Tamandua tetradactyla: one gene and its partner. The protein of the gene in region 2 interacts with the protein of the main gene of each other region in a pairwise test. Links are inferred from orthologs where the notes say so. Each region holds a gene or a part of one and is shown on either strand. Other genes may lie near its edges.

Region 1 (7,823 bases), on a different chromosome or scaffold from region 2:
GAGCTATTTGCTTTATTAGAGCCAACACTTATTAAGCAGTCCCCATGTGCCACATGCTGTGCAGAGTACTTTATCTGACTCAGTTCTCGAAACCCATCATCTGGGTGGCTATTATTCCTATTTTGAAAAACAATGAAACAAGCTCAGCAAGGTTAAGCCACTTGCTCAAGACACTCAGTGAGTAAATGATAGGAGCCAGGACAGAAATTCAAGTTTGTCTGACACTCAAGGCTGAGCTCTTCACCGCTATGATATACTGCCTCCCACTCTGCTATACTGTTCTGACATTTGAGTCAGACATCTGCTTGCAATTTGATACATTATAAAGCTATTGCCTCATCAAATATGCCTCACCGAGGTGGAGGGGAAGAGGAGGGGTAACTCAGGGAGGTTTTGCTTGGTGTGCAGTTGTATGATGTATGCATAGTGCTGTGAAACCAACAAATTGAATGAATGCTTCCATCTGAATGTATGTTTCTGTCCTGGTACTAAATTATCTTTGGAGATAGACTTAAAATATCCTGGAGGAGTTCATTCACAGGGTGGCCCTCATTTATAAGCACATATTAAGAGTGTAACCAAAAGACTGGCTGCTACTTAATCCGTCCCCTCCCCCATGCGTCTGCAGACAGCTATTTGGGTAGATCTACTGACTGTGAGATAGGTTTGACTCTTGGAAGTAAACAACATTTCTGAGGTGGCCAAGCCCCAAATTACCTCTAGAGGAAGCAAATGGGTCCTAGCTGAAGCTATGCCAGAATCTCTGCCCTTTCCCTTTCTAAGAGCTATGCTTTAGAAACAGCATTTTCACCCTCAGGTAAGTAGGATATTTGAAAGGAGATGAAAATTGACCATCACTGGATGTGCCTAGTTTGGGTGAGAATGGAGAGGTTTCGGGTTTTTTCTAGCCAGTCAGTTAAAAGGCAACCCAAATGCAGTCTTTCCTGAGGGCTTTGATACAAATATTCCCTGCTCATCTCCACTCCCAAAACAAGAGTAAAAGCTGTAAAACTAGACTTTACTCTACAGAGGACCCTTCCAGCCTGACATAAATCAGGGGCTTGTGGCTCAGACTCTCACTCAGGATTGGTTTCCAGGGGAGAAAGAGACTCAGGATATTAGAAAAACACCAAGACTGAGGTGATACCTGTGGGTTGGGGAAGAGGTGGTTATTGTGAGAGTCTCAAAGATACGGGCATTGGGAGCCCTTGTGGCCAATTCAGACTCTGAACAAGAAAAGGGCATGAAAGTAACAGACTACTAGGCAAAGGATGAAGGTACCAAACAAGGTAGAAATCAGACATGACTTTTCGAACGAAAACACACCAGGAATCTGATCTCCTCTCCCTGCACCACTGAAGTAGGTGGAAGACTCTGAACCAAATGCCACACTTCTAGTTTTCAATGCAATTTCCTCTCTAGTTCCTTCTACAAGGGCATTTTCTCTGGCCAGCGCAGCACCTGATTTGCCAACAGCATGTGCACTCCAAAGGTGGAACACACGGCAGAAACCCAGGAAGATAAAACCACTGACGTCAAAACGCTCTAGAAAGAAACTCATTCCAAGCAGAGAAACGTCAGCTTTTGATAGCGTTTGGTGTCATTGTTCTCCTTCTCTGGCTTGTGTCAGTAGCTGTCCCCCTCCCTCCTGTCTGCAAACACTGTCTTGCTGCTGCTTGCAGCCTGCTACAGCCTGCTGGGCCAGCATGTCTCCAGTCCATACATTCCCAACACGGGGCACCCAATTTTCTAGAGACTGGTGTGAGCCAAGTCTCTATCAAACTGTGAAGGGAAAAGTTCTCCAGTCTGGGTGTGATTTTTTTTTTTTTATTATTTTTTTTATTTTAGGTATGATGGCCCATCAGTCCTCCATCCCACACCCACTGCAAAGTTCAGATTGCGTTGTGCTTTAGACAGAACAGACATTCTGTCTAAAGCACTTTTCAAGACATGTTTCAATCTACTCCCTGATACAGGCTGCCAGGATTAATAAATCCCCCAAGTGTCCCCCCCCCCCAGGTCCACTTCTTTCTTTTTCTCCCACTGAACCACTCGTCCAACACCAGCAAAAGATGAGTTTTCATACTGCCTTGATTTTCCCTGACAGAGGGCATAGCCTTTTCCCTTTTCATTCTCAAACTCCACTAAATTGAATGATTTTTGAAGAGTTGGATTTTCTGTCTTGGAATGCCTCCATTTTCCCTCACCCTCTTCTCCCTTCTGCCCCACGTCCTGCTTTCCCTCTTTCTGCCTTCCTTGAATTTCTTCCCTTATTCTGTCCACCTCACACCATTTCCACCACCAACACTGAATTCAAAGCAATCGGATCCTTTTGAAAATTCAAATAAAACTCTTCCAAGACCATCTTCACAGTCTTGGAAGGCTTCTCCCTGACTCTTGAGCTCAGAATCCTCGGTTTGGATGCTGGAGAGGAGAGAATTCAGCAGCAGCAGCAGCAGTGAGAAAGGCGTGGAGGAGGGTGATGTTTTGGGTGTATTTGAGGGAACAGCATATGGGCTTTTGTCAAAATGTTCAGAGCTCGCTCGTTTCTGAGCTGAGTATAGAAATGTGTTGCTGTCTCTGAACACTGTTGGAGCCTGTTAAACGCTCACCCTCCCTTCTTACACAACACTCCCAAACCACAGGAAACCCACCATACCTCCACCCACCCCCCCATCCCGCCCTCTGAGCCCTGCAATACCAAGAAAAGTTTCTTAGAGCCAGTCACCCTAAGAAAGTCACTGCCCACCCTAAGAAAGCAAAACGGGGATCTCAGTATGTCAACTGCCCCTTCCCACAAAGGACCCCATCCCTTCTCGTTAGCGTCCACTCCACACAAGCAATTAGTTCCCACGTTCCAGCCGGAGATACCGAGGAGTGACAGGAAAAGGCAGGCATCCTGGCCCAGTCCCCTGTATCCACCCCTCAGGGCTCTGGGGTACAGGCCAGAGAGGGGGATCAGCAGGGGCTCCCCTGTGGGGAAGGAGGTCACTACCTTGGCAGAGGCTTGCGGGCCGTGATACTGGCGACAATGATGCTCTCGGGACGCGGGGTGGCCACCGCTCTGAAGGTCCCTCGCCAGAACTTCTCAAAAAGCTGCTTCTCGCCTTGCTGAACGCTCGCCATAGCCAACCCGAAGGGGCCGGGCCGCGGGCGCTGTCCGAAGTGCTGAAGCGTGGATTCCAAACAGGGGGGCGCACCCGGCTCCCGGCTCCGTCCGTGTGAAACACCCGGAGGGGTGGGGTGGGAGAGCTCGGGGGTTCGAGGAGGGGGAGGGGGCGCCTCAGCCCGGGCAGGCAGCGGAGAAAGAAGGCTCGTCCGCCGGCTTTTCTTCACCTTCTGAGGTTGGGCTCTGGGCTGCGCTCTGAGCTTGCTGAGGCCGGGCGCCCCAGGAGGGAAAGGGGCGGTGTTGGGGGGTGCTGGCTCTCTCGGCAGTGCCGGGAGAGGAGAGGCGGCGGGGTCGCCCGGGTGTGCGTGCGCGTGTGAGCTCCGGCGCGCCCGGGTTTTGTCTCTCGCACAATGTGACGTTGGAAGAGGAGGCTGGTCGCGCGAGCTGCACTTTCCTCCCCTCCTTCTTCGTCTTTCCTCCTCCCCCCAGCCCTCTCCCCCTCCCCCTCCCGCTCAGCCTCCTGCCGCCATCTGCATAACAAAAGCCCGCAGGTCTTGGGAGGAGAAAGGGCGGGGCGTGCGCCTGTCACCAGGGCCCGCGGCGACAGAGTTGCAGCGCTGAGCCTGGAAGACGCAATCCCGGCACCCCGAACGCGGCTGGAGATTGTGCTTCCCGGCGCTTTCTCTCTTCTTCCCCCGCCCGCCTCCTTCGTGTGCCTTCCGGGCACCTCCCTTCTCAACCCCTTCAGAAAGAAGTCCTGTAGAGGATCTCCTAGTGAGAGGGAGGCAAAAAACTTAACCTACCCTCCCAAACCAATCCGCCCCCCCCCCACGCCCCCAACTTCTGGACTACCTAGACCCGGAAAGGGGGTCCCCTGAGTTGCTGCCAGTGCCCCGGGGACCGCGAGATCAGCACCACCCAGAAAGTGCTGTCTGATGGACAACCCCTCCCCAATTCAGCTTCTCGCCATCTGCCGAGCCGGGCCCCCGCCCGCAGAGGGGCGCAGCGCTACATCTGTCCTTGCGGCGCTGTAAGGGATATGTCTTTTGTGTCTCGCAGCCAGACCCGTCCCGAGGAAGGACTGCAACCCCCGCCCCCACTCCCCCATCCGCCCCCAGCCACTCCTGGGAACTCGGCGGCAGGCACTTTCTTAACACAGCTTGCCTGGGGAAGGGAGTCCCTTTTAGAAAAGAAAGCGTTTATAGGGAGGGCTTTGGGGGGAGCGCAGAATCCGAAGATTATGGGAGGAGTCAACTTTTCACTCCCTCCTCCCCATCCTTTACCCCTTCCTAGTTCAATCCTAATCCCAGGAAGCGGAGGTTTAGAATCATAAATAAACCTCAGACATAGAGCATCAGGGTCAGAATTTCTCGTTTCCTCCCAGGGTTTTCATTAAGAAAGCCAAAAGTTGCTGCACCCCCTCAGCCCATCTCTGCCTCGAGCCCTTTAATCCCAGCAGAGCTGCCCCACCCCTCTGCACCCCCACCAAGGCTGTAAACTCCTGGAAGGAGGCTTCGCTGAGTCTACAAGAGCCCCAGCACCTGGCACCAGGTTCCGGCCAGGAGCAGGAATAAGCCCAAGCTTCTTGCCGATGCTGATGGCAATGGGGGACCAGGCCACCAATGTGAATTTGAGAAATTCTTTGAAAATGAACAGGAGAGGAAGACGGGAGAAGGGAGAAAGAGGAAGCAGAGAGAACAAGATGTGGGGGGTGGGGGTGGGGGAGGAGAAGATGGAAAAAACCCTAGAGTATGGGTCCAGAAGGGTATATATATATTTGGATATGTGCGTATTTGGAATTTCATGGGTGGGTTTATAAGAGGGCCTTAGAGTGCTGCTTTGCTTTGCAGTGACCCCTTCTGGTCAACAGCTAGAGATGCATCTCCTGGCTTGGGTGTGTAGGGCGTCTGGAGGTGGGAGACGACTAGGGAGTGTGGGCATGGAAAGAAGTGGAGGCCAGCTCCCCACACCCCCACCCCGCTTTGGTCAAATACTCCCATTCTCTGACTGCTCTCAAGCCCTATTTTCTACCCTGAAGCTGATGTCATCTTAAATTTTTTTGACAGCTGGCTCCTTAAGTAGGCTGGGGTATTTAAAATCATCCTTGGGACACTTAGGGTCTGAACTGAGTCATCAGTCAGTGGGATCACACTCCACAAGGTCAAACAACCTCTCCAGCTGTTCTTAAATTCTCAGAATGTTGGTAAAACTCCATTCCCATGGTACTGCCTCTTTTGAACCCCACAGCAGCAGGTGAGGTGGGACAGGAATCTGCTCTTACCTAAGTGACTCACCCAAGGACACAAAGGAGGCCTGTTAAAAAAGTTTCTGGTTTTTTTTTTTTGTGTGTGTGTGTGGGGGGTCCTTAGGATAGTAAACATACCCGGGTAGAATGTAAAAGTGAGTGAGTACCAATGAGCCACTGAGGTGATTGAGCATCTAAATGGGGGTCTCAGGTAATGAATCTGCCACTGGAGCCAGACTGCCTGATTCAAGTTTGAGTTCAGTCATTTCCTACTGTGTGATCTCGGAGGAGTGACTACCTGTGCATGCCTCAGTTTCTCCATCCGTAACACAGAGATTCTATAGAGATTAAAGAGCCTATGTTTAAAGGAACTAGCTGTGAGGGTTAAAGAAATTAATGCATGTACAGACTGTAGAATATTTGGATGAACTTGGAGTATTGCTAACCTCTGGCTCAGTTTCCCCATCTGCAAAACGGAGAGCTTAGTGGAAACTTCAAGGAGTTATTGTGAGGGCTGAAGGAAATATTACCTGGAAGGGATTTAGCAACAGTGTCCAATTCATGGTCAGTGTCTATTAAGGAATAGCTATTACGTCGCCATCATCACCTGTCAATTTCTTAAGTCAGACGGTGATCAGTTACATAATCATTCACTGATGCCTAATCTTGTTCAGGCACAGTCCTGGGCATGGAAGTTCCAAAAATGAACAAAACATGGTCCCTTCCCTAAAGGATCTCACAGTCTAATTTATCTTCTGGGTTCCCATAGCCTAATGTTTGTCCTCCTTCCACCCTAACAAAGTTGCTTTAGGTCTGCCTTCCCCAACATGCCCCAAACTCCAGGCCCTTCATCACTTTATCAAAATATAGCCATCTTGTGTCACCTTTTGTCAGGGTATTGCTCTCTATTTTTTTTTCCAGGTGCAAGCCAGTCCCCACCACAAGCCAAATACTAACAATATGCTGGGCAGTGAACACAAATATGTGGCACAATTGCAGCTTCTCCTCTGCACACAGCTGATGGCAGGCATCACTAATCCATTGCAGCACTCTTTCTGCGATGTAGCCTCAGAATCCTTCTCAACACAGTCTTCTAGAGAACCGATTGCTAATTCACTGGGGTTGGCATTTCAGATAAATCAAGTTGTCATCCATGTCTAGAGGGTGCTTCTTTTCCTAATTGCTATTGCTCTTTCATTTTAACAAAGGGAGACCAAAGAGAAGTAACTCTAGGATTTTCAGATTGAGGTACTTTGTGGAGACTGAAGAAATTCTTATACGTCCTTCCTTCAGTGACCCAAAGAAGCAGCACTTCCAACTCAGAGAAATAGCTACTGCTCCTACTGAGGCAGTTCAAATCCCATCTCGATGACCTCACTGTGTTACCTAGTGTAAACCGCTTAATCTCTCTGTGTCCAGGACACCTCTGAGTGCAATGGGACAGATCATTATCCACCAGCACCAAGAGATAAAGGGTACTTGATGGTCTGTACCTATTTCCAAAAGTCCAGTGAACAGTGTAAGATTCAAGTAATTATTGAGATAATGGAATATGATAATAAGACCCATTCATCTGTCTTTGTGCCTTTAAATAGGATGGTGTTAAGCAATTCAAATTAGAAGATTTTGTATCTCTTTACATAGATAGGGATAAAAATAATAATTGCACTATTCGGGATTTATCAATTCTCACTTCTTGGAAGTTCTACCTTGTGAATAATCTAAATCCCCTTTCTGCCATTTATTGTCCATTTATTGATGCGCACTGCTTCAAATGCCCCCTGCACTAACATGGACAATACATGTCCTTGTGGAGTGACACTATAAGAATCCTCCATTCCTTGTTGCATGACAGTATAAGACAATTGCATTCCTTGCTGTCTCAGATATTAATAATAATTGGACTTATCAAGTACATGTTGGTCTGTTCTATGTTTTAGTCACCACGTATGCTAAACCCTTAATAACATCATTTCATTTAATCCTTGTCATAACTCTATGAGAAAGGAACTTTATTGTCTGAAATCTGCTGATTGCAAAACGGAGGCTCAGTGGGGTAAAGCCACTTGCCCAGAGTTGCACAGCTCACAAGTGGCGAAGTCTGGATTCAAATCCAGATCTGCCTTACTCTAAAGTTCATGTGCTTACCTCTAGGCTACACTGACTTCCAGCAACAGAATAAGGAAAGTTTAACATTGGGTGAGGGTGTACGTGCATCCAACCTCTATAAGTTGTGTCCCTATTAGAACTGTCTGTTAAACAGTCTGCATATCTACAAATGATGCTACTTTTATAGTCTGCCACCTCTTCCTGCAAAAGTAGCAAAAACTACTTGCCTCACGGTGTGTAGTACAGGAAATCTGGTATTTTGCATGTAGTTGGCAGGACAGGATATAAATCTCCAAGGCTATCATTTTAATTAATTTATTTAGTATGCTGTATGGCGGGGTCACATTTCATTCTTTTTTC
Region 2 (7,795 bases):
AAAATTAGAAGAGCATTTTGCAGTGGTCTAAGCAGCACCTCTGAAACCACATAGCTCTTCTACTTCTCTGACCCCACTGTCTCAGACTTCCTCACTTGCCTTTTAATTTGTGGGTTCCCCAGATTAACACAGTGGGAGTTAGACGTTACCGGGTTTGTATCCAATCGTACTAAGTCATTACAAGTCTTAGCTGCTTCATATGTGGCCAAGAAAATGCAAACTCCTTCCCTAAATTGATCTCCCAAAATGCCCAGTCCCTCTTGACTCCATCCATTCTGGTGACATCAACATCCCTGTGACTACAGACCTGCCTCTCCACATGCTTAGCTCCATCTTCTCTATATCATGTCCAAAAACAGAGATTTGCTCCTTCTCCAGGGTTCCCCCTCTCAGGAAGCATCATCACTGTCTGCTAAGTACTAGGATAGAAACCTTGCAAATGCCATCTCCCTTTTCTCACCTCTCTCCCACCTCACCTTCTTGCTACTGCCTCTTAAATAGCTCCCCAACACACTCTCCTCTAAGGTGACATTTCTAAAGCACACGTGGGTCTTGTGACATTCTTCTGGAATTGCTGACTTGTGCTGCTAGATGCCAGTGGGGACACTGGGGTCGGAGGGGCAGAGAGAAGGTGGGAGGGAGCGTCTGGACTCCTGTTCATGTACTGGTTTCACTTTGTGAAAAATTAACCAAGCTATACCCTTACGATTTGTACACTTTTCTCTGTACTGTTTGTGGTGGTATGAAGCTATGCACCCCAGAAAAACATGCTCTCTTTAATCCGTTCCTGAGGGTGTTACCCCATTGCAAGACCTTTTGATGAGACTACTGCAGTTAAGGTGTGGTTCCTATTACTGGAGTCCTTTAAAAGCAAAGAGAAATTCAAACAGAGAGAAAGCCACAGGAAGCAAGAAGCTAAAGATCAACAGAACCCAGGAGAGACGAGGAGACGCTTGCCATATGCATTTCATGTGACAGAAGAGCTAAGGACGAAGGATTCCACTGATGATACCTTGAATTGGACCTTCTCTTAGCCTCAAAACCATAAGCAAATAATCCCCATTGTTCGCAGTGAACCATCACATGGTATTTGCTTGAGTAGCTAAGAAAAAGAAACCACTATTCAGCAGCACATAAAATAGCAGGTATCCCATTGAATTCAGTGAGTCCAAATGCCTTAATGAACTCAAGATTCACATTTGTAGCCTCAGCACCTTGATTCTCTTCTTGCTCATTCATTTATTCAATAAATATTTTAAGTACCTATCAGGTGCTGTCCTAGGCGTGAGGGATACAGCAGTGTTTGCATCCTGGTGCAGTGAGACAGATGAATGTAAAGGTACAATGTGTCACACACAGGGACAGGAGTGCCCATGGGGACGGGTTGGAGGAGGGAGCATGTGGCATCACCAATCCAGGAGAGGCTGAGCAGAGACCTGAAGGATGGAGATGGGCTTGACACAGGAAAAGTGTTCCACTCCAGGAGCCAGAGTGATAGGCACACAGGAAGAACAACAGGATGCTGGACGGCTGGGGCAGCCGAGTTGCAGGGATGATCCTGCAGGACGTAGGGCCACAACAGGAACATGGACTGACTCAGTTCGGCAGGTCTGGACAGTTTATGGTAAACACCGAGTGGAAGCAGGGAGCCCAGGCTGGAGGCTGCCACAGTCGGCCAGGCAGAAGACGGCAGTGCTGGAGACCAGGGAACAGGAGTAGACTGTAACAATGGTGGTGCTAGGTAGGATACTGCAGCTGTACCTTCAAAATAAGAGAAGGTACAGCTGCAGTATCTGACCATGGACTAGAGGCTGGGTGTGACTACCAGCTTGGCTTGTTAGCAGATGGCTGGGAGACATGAGTGCAGGGTGGCTCCAGGGTTTCGGCTGGAACAGCAGCAAGGATGGGGCAGCTGCGTACAAAGATTGGAACTGAGCAGGAGAAGGCGGCTTGTGGGAGGTGGTTGAACCAGTTTTAAACACGGTGAACCCAAAGTGCCCACTGACCACCCGAAACACGGTGTGAGGAAGAGGGGCACAGTCTGGACGGGGCAGGGTCCCTGGCTGGAGGTACACACTGAGATGGCATGTTGTTTTCTGACGGGAATGGTCCCAGAGAAAGGGGACACTGCCAAACCAGGAAAAGGAAGAGTCACTGGCATGGGAACTCAGGGCAGGCAGAGCAGTTCTGGTACAGATGCAGTGGGGGCAGTGGGTGAGGCAGGAGGGGGCTGGCCAAGCACAGAGGCAGAGAGGCAGAAGAAACAACCACGTGGGCAGTGTGGGAGCAAACGGTCCAGGTGGGAAAGGCAAGCAAGAGTGGAGAAGTGTTCCCACCCAGGCTGAGTCTCTGAGGGGAGCCAAGGGTACTGCTGGGTCGGGGAGGTGGCAGCGGCAGCCTCAGGTGAGGACCAACCATCGGAAGCCTGACCTTGGATCTCTTAGCCATTTCACTCTGCCAGGAAAGGAGCAAAATCCTCATGCTCCTGGGGGCGTGGAAGCCGTGGGGAAATCTGGAGAGCAGTGGGAGGGGTACATCCTGCAGCCTGACTAGACAGTCTGAAGCAGGAAGAGGACTGGACTGATGTCAGTCTTGCTTCTACTCTCAACTCTGCCAAAGATTTCTGGTGTGCCCCAGGCCTCCCACTCCCCATTCTGGGCCTCATTTATAGGGCAGCAGGTTTAAAGTAACCAATTCCACACTCTCCAGGATGGTTTCGGGTCATAAAAAGACCGCCTTTAGGGCCCTCTGCCTGTCCACTTCTGGAGTTAAAGTTTTGCAAGTTCCAGGGGCAGTGCCACGTGGGACCTAGCATTTCCGACAGGGGTCACCTCGGGCAGCATTAAGGCCAGGAGGACAGGACGAGATGACACAAAGTGGTGGTGAGTTTTTAACTTACACTTTTAAACACAGACGCTACTGTGGGAGAAGACCCTCCCCCCCATCTTCACAACTCACTTCCTGGACAGCTCAAGGGTGCAGTTACTTTTTGATCCAAAACCGTTTGTATTGCTCTGGGTCAAAGTCATCCTTGAGCTCTGGTTCTGTCTTTGTTTCTTGGAACTTAGCCTCACGCTTCCGCAGTCGAGCCTTCCTCTCTTCAGGAGACAGGGCATCAAGATCTGTGGGCAGCTACAGTGGGAGGGAAGGCACTGTGGTGCATTCTGGAGCCGCTCACGGAAGGGGGTGGGGGTGGGGGTGGAGTGAAACCAGTAAAAATGCCAAAACCTAACTGAGCTGATGTTAAATTTGTAAAGGATTACTGATATCACATTTTTCCAAGTCTTTGTTTGACCTTAGTTTTTTTCTATTGTACTTTGATTTTTTACATGTTCTGTTTTTTCTTTCCCTTCAAAGCGTTTTTCCTTATAAAAGAAAAAAAAATGTTTTCTTGTTGTTTCCCTGGGTTTTCTTTTTTTTTTTAATATAAAATTCATAAATCCCATCTACTTTTTCTGTATGCTCTCTGGGCATAAACTGACTTCTCAAACAATAACCCTTGATACTATATCATTCTTTCCCCACTGACGTGAGACATCTCCATTGTGCTCTTTGGCTACAAGCTTATTCTGAACTAACTAGCCCAAGAGCTCCCTGAGAGAGCATTTCTAAGGGTCTCTTCTTTCTGAGGATCTACTGGGGCCCAGGCCAGAGCAAAGTTCAGCAAGTGGACCCAGGCCAGGGGAAGAGGTCTCTTGAGCCCCTACAGTGTGGCTGTGCCTCCTCTTGCCTTTGCTCTGGGCTCACCTGGCATTTGGACCTAAGCAGATCCTGGGGAATGAGGTCAGAGAATGTGCCTGGTGACTGAGCCTTACCGCCAGCATCCGTCTTGGCTCCCTGTAGCGGATGTGGATGGTCGAGCCATCCTGCTTCACCAGGAGCACAGGATAGAGGCGTGCATACATTTGCCTGTGTATCCGTGTGAGTGCTGCTCTGTTACAGTCAGCCCGCCAGGAGGATGTGTGCAGGCAGTGGCATGAGGCAGCCACTCTCCTCAGGAAACTCTGCCGCAGCAGGCTGCAGGGAGACATGTGGATAACTCGTCAGTGGATCGAAGCTGGGGTCAAAGGTACCAAATGTGGCCCATGGCTGGCTAGCCAATCAGGATCTGGGACAAAAAGGCCTGAGAACTTGAGGTCACCAGATGGGTGCGGAAGAGCCAGGCATGTGTAGGGCTTTCCCCCTAGTTCGCTTTTTTATCACTTTGTATCCAGTGATACAAAAGTGCTGGCTACATAGGGAAGTGTCATAGAGGAGGCCTGCCTCGGTGATGAAGATGCAGGAATGGTCTGGCCACAGGCTGCCTGAAGTAGGGACTGGCCCTTGAAAAGAGAAGAGCAGACAGGGCTATAAGGGGGCACGGTGGACAGATGGGGGCCTTCCTTTCACTGCCCCACCTGCCCTGTCCTAAGCAGGGCCAAGAGGCCACTGTGGGGTGAGCACATGATGCTCCCCAGACACAAGGACAGTGGACAACAACCACGAGCCCAAGGGGTTTAGGAAAGACCTCTGTTTGGAGAGGCCTGGCTGACCAGCAGATCCTTGGACATGTGTATGGTACGGGAAGCTCAGTTCTGACAGAAAGATAACCGTCTGGGTGAGGATGATGCCAGACCCGAGATTCATGCAGTCAAAAGCAGGTACTCTAAAGTGACGGGAAAGAGGTGCTCTGGCCAAGCTCTGCCACTAACTGCTGGTTGACCCTGGACCTGTCCCTTACTCACTCTGGCCTCAGTCTGACAACGGGGCAGCTCAGCCTGTGACCTCTGATTGCCTCCAGCCCTGAGATTCCCGGCTTTAATCTCAATGTGGATTTAGACCCACTCCTAGGCCATTCTGCCATCTACCCATTTTTCCACAGCTTGAGGAAAAAATGTTAGAAACACTGCCAGCTTTTCTCAGGAAAAGCCTGCTGTTCTTTTCGATGCCCCGGACACATCAATTACCATTTCCACTTCATTCCTTTACTCAAATCTCTCTCAAAGCCCCTTTGCTTCAATGCCTAGCCATGTCTACCCCAGACCATCCCAACAGCCTCCTTCCAGGTACCCTCCCACTGCCATGCCCCTCTGATGGGGACTCCACACTAGAGCACTACTTCCACAAACTATCTGGTGAAATCACTTCAGGGGCTCCCGCTGCTCTCACAATAACAGGCAGATTACTGACTGCCCATATGGTCTTTGGGATTTCTCAGTCATATCCTACCCCCATCCTCTCCCACAACAAAACTGTTAGCCCAAGAACCCTGCAGGTCCACACAGAGAGTGCTGTCTCCCTCCTCCTAGCCACAGCCCCCACAGCCCACCGCCTGGAACTCCACTTTTCACCTCCTCAGGGTTCACACGATACCCCATGCTTCCCAAGACAGAATCATCTAGCTGACACCGTCCTGTTCTATGTGTCCATCTGGCCCCTAGACTATGATATCCTGGGATAAGAAATGCATCTTATTCACCATTAAATTTCAGACCTCTAGCATAGGACTTGGTAAATTTTGACAAAATGAATCTGGTCTCTGCCTTCAAAACTGCATGAGAAAAGCAAGGTGACCTGGTGGCACAGTAAATGTGGAATTTAGTCCATCTTCCAGGGCAGCCAGTAAATAGCCAGGAACTGTATAAACAGTTGGGGAAGCAGTGGTGACTGGACACACATCATACACCAGTCTAGGCCTAATTTTAAGTAGGCTTAGCCTATCCTTTGCAGGATTAAGTTTCATATGAACAAACCCCAAGATTGGAGGCTCAGCCTATTGCTTTGGCTATCCCCACTGCCTGTGAAAATACCAAAAATTCTCTATTCCGGTAAGTTGAATTTTCCCCCTTTCTCACCATCCCCCTTAGGAGACTCCGCAAATACTTCCCTATTCACCGTTCAAATCGCTCTGGGATTTATCTGGGCATCACTCTGGACAAACCTACAAAATCTCATGCCCTACATAAGGTTCCAAGTACTATCAAGTACTATCATTGTATCAAGTACAAATGTTAAAATAAATTTAGTAGATTGAAATGCTGGTGATCGGTGAAGGGGAGGGATAAGAGGTATAGTATGTATGAATTTTTCTCTATCTTCTTTTTATTGCTTTTTCTGAATTGATGCAAATGTTCTAAGAAATGACCATGATGATGAATATACAACTATGCGTGAGTTATTGATTATATAACAAGAACGGACTGATCATATGGTAAGAATGTTTGTGTTTGTATGTGGTTATGTATCATAAATAAAAAATAAATTAAAAAAAGAATAAAAAAAGAGACAAAGAAGGACAACAATGTGTCAATAAAAGGAAGAATTCAATAAGAAGCCATAAAATCATAAATAGTTATGCACCGAGCCAAAGTGTTCCAAAACATATGAAGCAAACACTGACAACACTGAAGGAAGAAGTAGGCACCTCTACCATAATAATGGGAGACTTCAACTTCCTGCTCTCATCAGTGGAGAGAACATCTAGACAGAGGCTCAGTAACAAAACAGAAATTTTGAATACAATAAATGACTAGACTTAACTGACATTTACAGAACATTACACTCCATAACAGCAACGGATACAAATTTTTCTCAAGTGCTCATGGATCATTCTCAAGGACAGACCATATGCTGGGTCACAAAGCTGTCTCAATAAATTTAAAAAGATTGAAATAGTACAAAACACTTTCTCGGATCATAATGGAATGAAGCTGGAAAACAATAGCAGGCAGAGGGCTGGAAAATTCACAAATAATATGGAGGCTAAACAACACACTCAAAAATCAGTGGGTCAAAGAAGAAATTATCAATAAATACCTCAAGGCAAATGAAAATGAAAACACAACATATCAAAATTTATGGGATGTAGCAAAGGCAGTTCTGGGAGGGAAGTTTATTGTTCTACTTTAAAAAAGAAGACAAAAAAAATCAAGGAATTAACTGTTCATCTGGAAGAACTATAGAAGGAACAGCAAACTAATCCTAAAGCAAACAAAACAAAAGAAATAATGAAGATTACAGCAGAACTAAATGAAATTGAAAATATGAAAGCAGTAGAGAGAATCAACAAAACCAGAAGTTGGTTCTTTGAGAAAATCAATAAAATCAATGGACCCTTAGCTAGGCTGACCAAAAAGGATGCAAATAAATAAAATCAGAACTGGAAGAGGAGACATAACAACAGACTCCACAGAAATGAAGGAGGCAATGCGAGGATACTATGAACAGCTTTATGGTAATAAACTAGACAATGTAGATGAAATGGACAACTTCCTAGAAAGGTATGAACAACCAACACTGACACAAGAACAGACGATCTCAACAAACCAAATACAAGTAAAGAAATTGTATCAGTCATCAAGAAGCTCCCAAAAAAGAAAAGTCCAGGACAGATGGCTTTACAAGTGACTTCTACCAAGCATTCAAGAATTAGTACCAATCCTGCTCAAATTCTTCAAAAAAACTAAAGAGGAGAAAAAATAACCTGACTCATTCTATAAGCCAACATCACCCTAACCAAAGCCTGACAAAGATACTACAACAAAAGAAAATTACACAACAATCTTTTTAATGAATATAAATGCAAAGATACTCAAAAAAATACTTGCAAATCAAATTCAGCAGCACATTAAAAGAATTATACACCATGACCAAGTGAGATTTATTCCAGGTATGCAAGGCTAGATCAACACAAGAGAATCAATTAATATAATACACCATATCAATAAGTCAAAGCAGAAAAAAAACACATGATCATGTTCATTGATGCAGAAAAATCATCTGACAAAATCCAACATCCTCTCTTGATGAAAACACT

Evidence for each region.
Region 1: the proteins of C20H1orf35 (region 2) and SRRM4 interact in binary tests that used the Homo sapiens proteins (3 or more experiments, as listed by UniProt). The link is inferred for Tamandua tetradactyla from reciprocal best matches to the Homo sapiens genes C1orf35 and SRRM4.

What each region holds. Positions count from the first base shown.
Region 1 is NC_135331.1:19,231,542-19,239,364, reverse strand, and holds the start of SRRM4 (serine/arginine repetitive matrix protein 4), read right to left. Parts: upstream 3,127-7,823; coding exon 2,996-3,126; intron 1-2,995. UniProt on the Homo sapiens protein: Splicing factor specifically required for neural cell differentiation.
Region 2 is NC_135346.1:62,975,442-62,983,236, reverse strand, and holds the start of C20H1orf35 (multiple myeloma tumor-associated protein 2), read right to left. Parts: upstream 2,983-7,795; 5' UTR 2,959-2,982; exon of another isoform or gene 2,878-2,958; intron 1,762-2,877; exon of another isoform or gene 1,123-1,761; intron 1-1,122. Other genes in the region: MRPL55 (large ribosomal subunit protein mL55), read right to left, coding at 2,983-3,132, 3,816-4,017.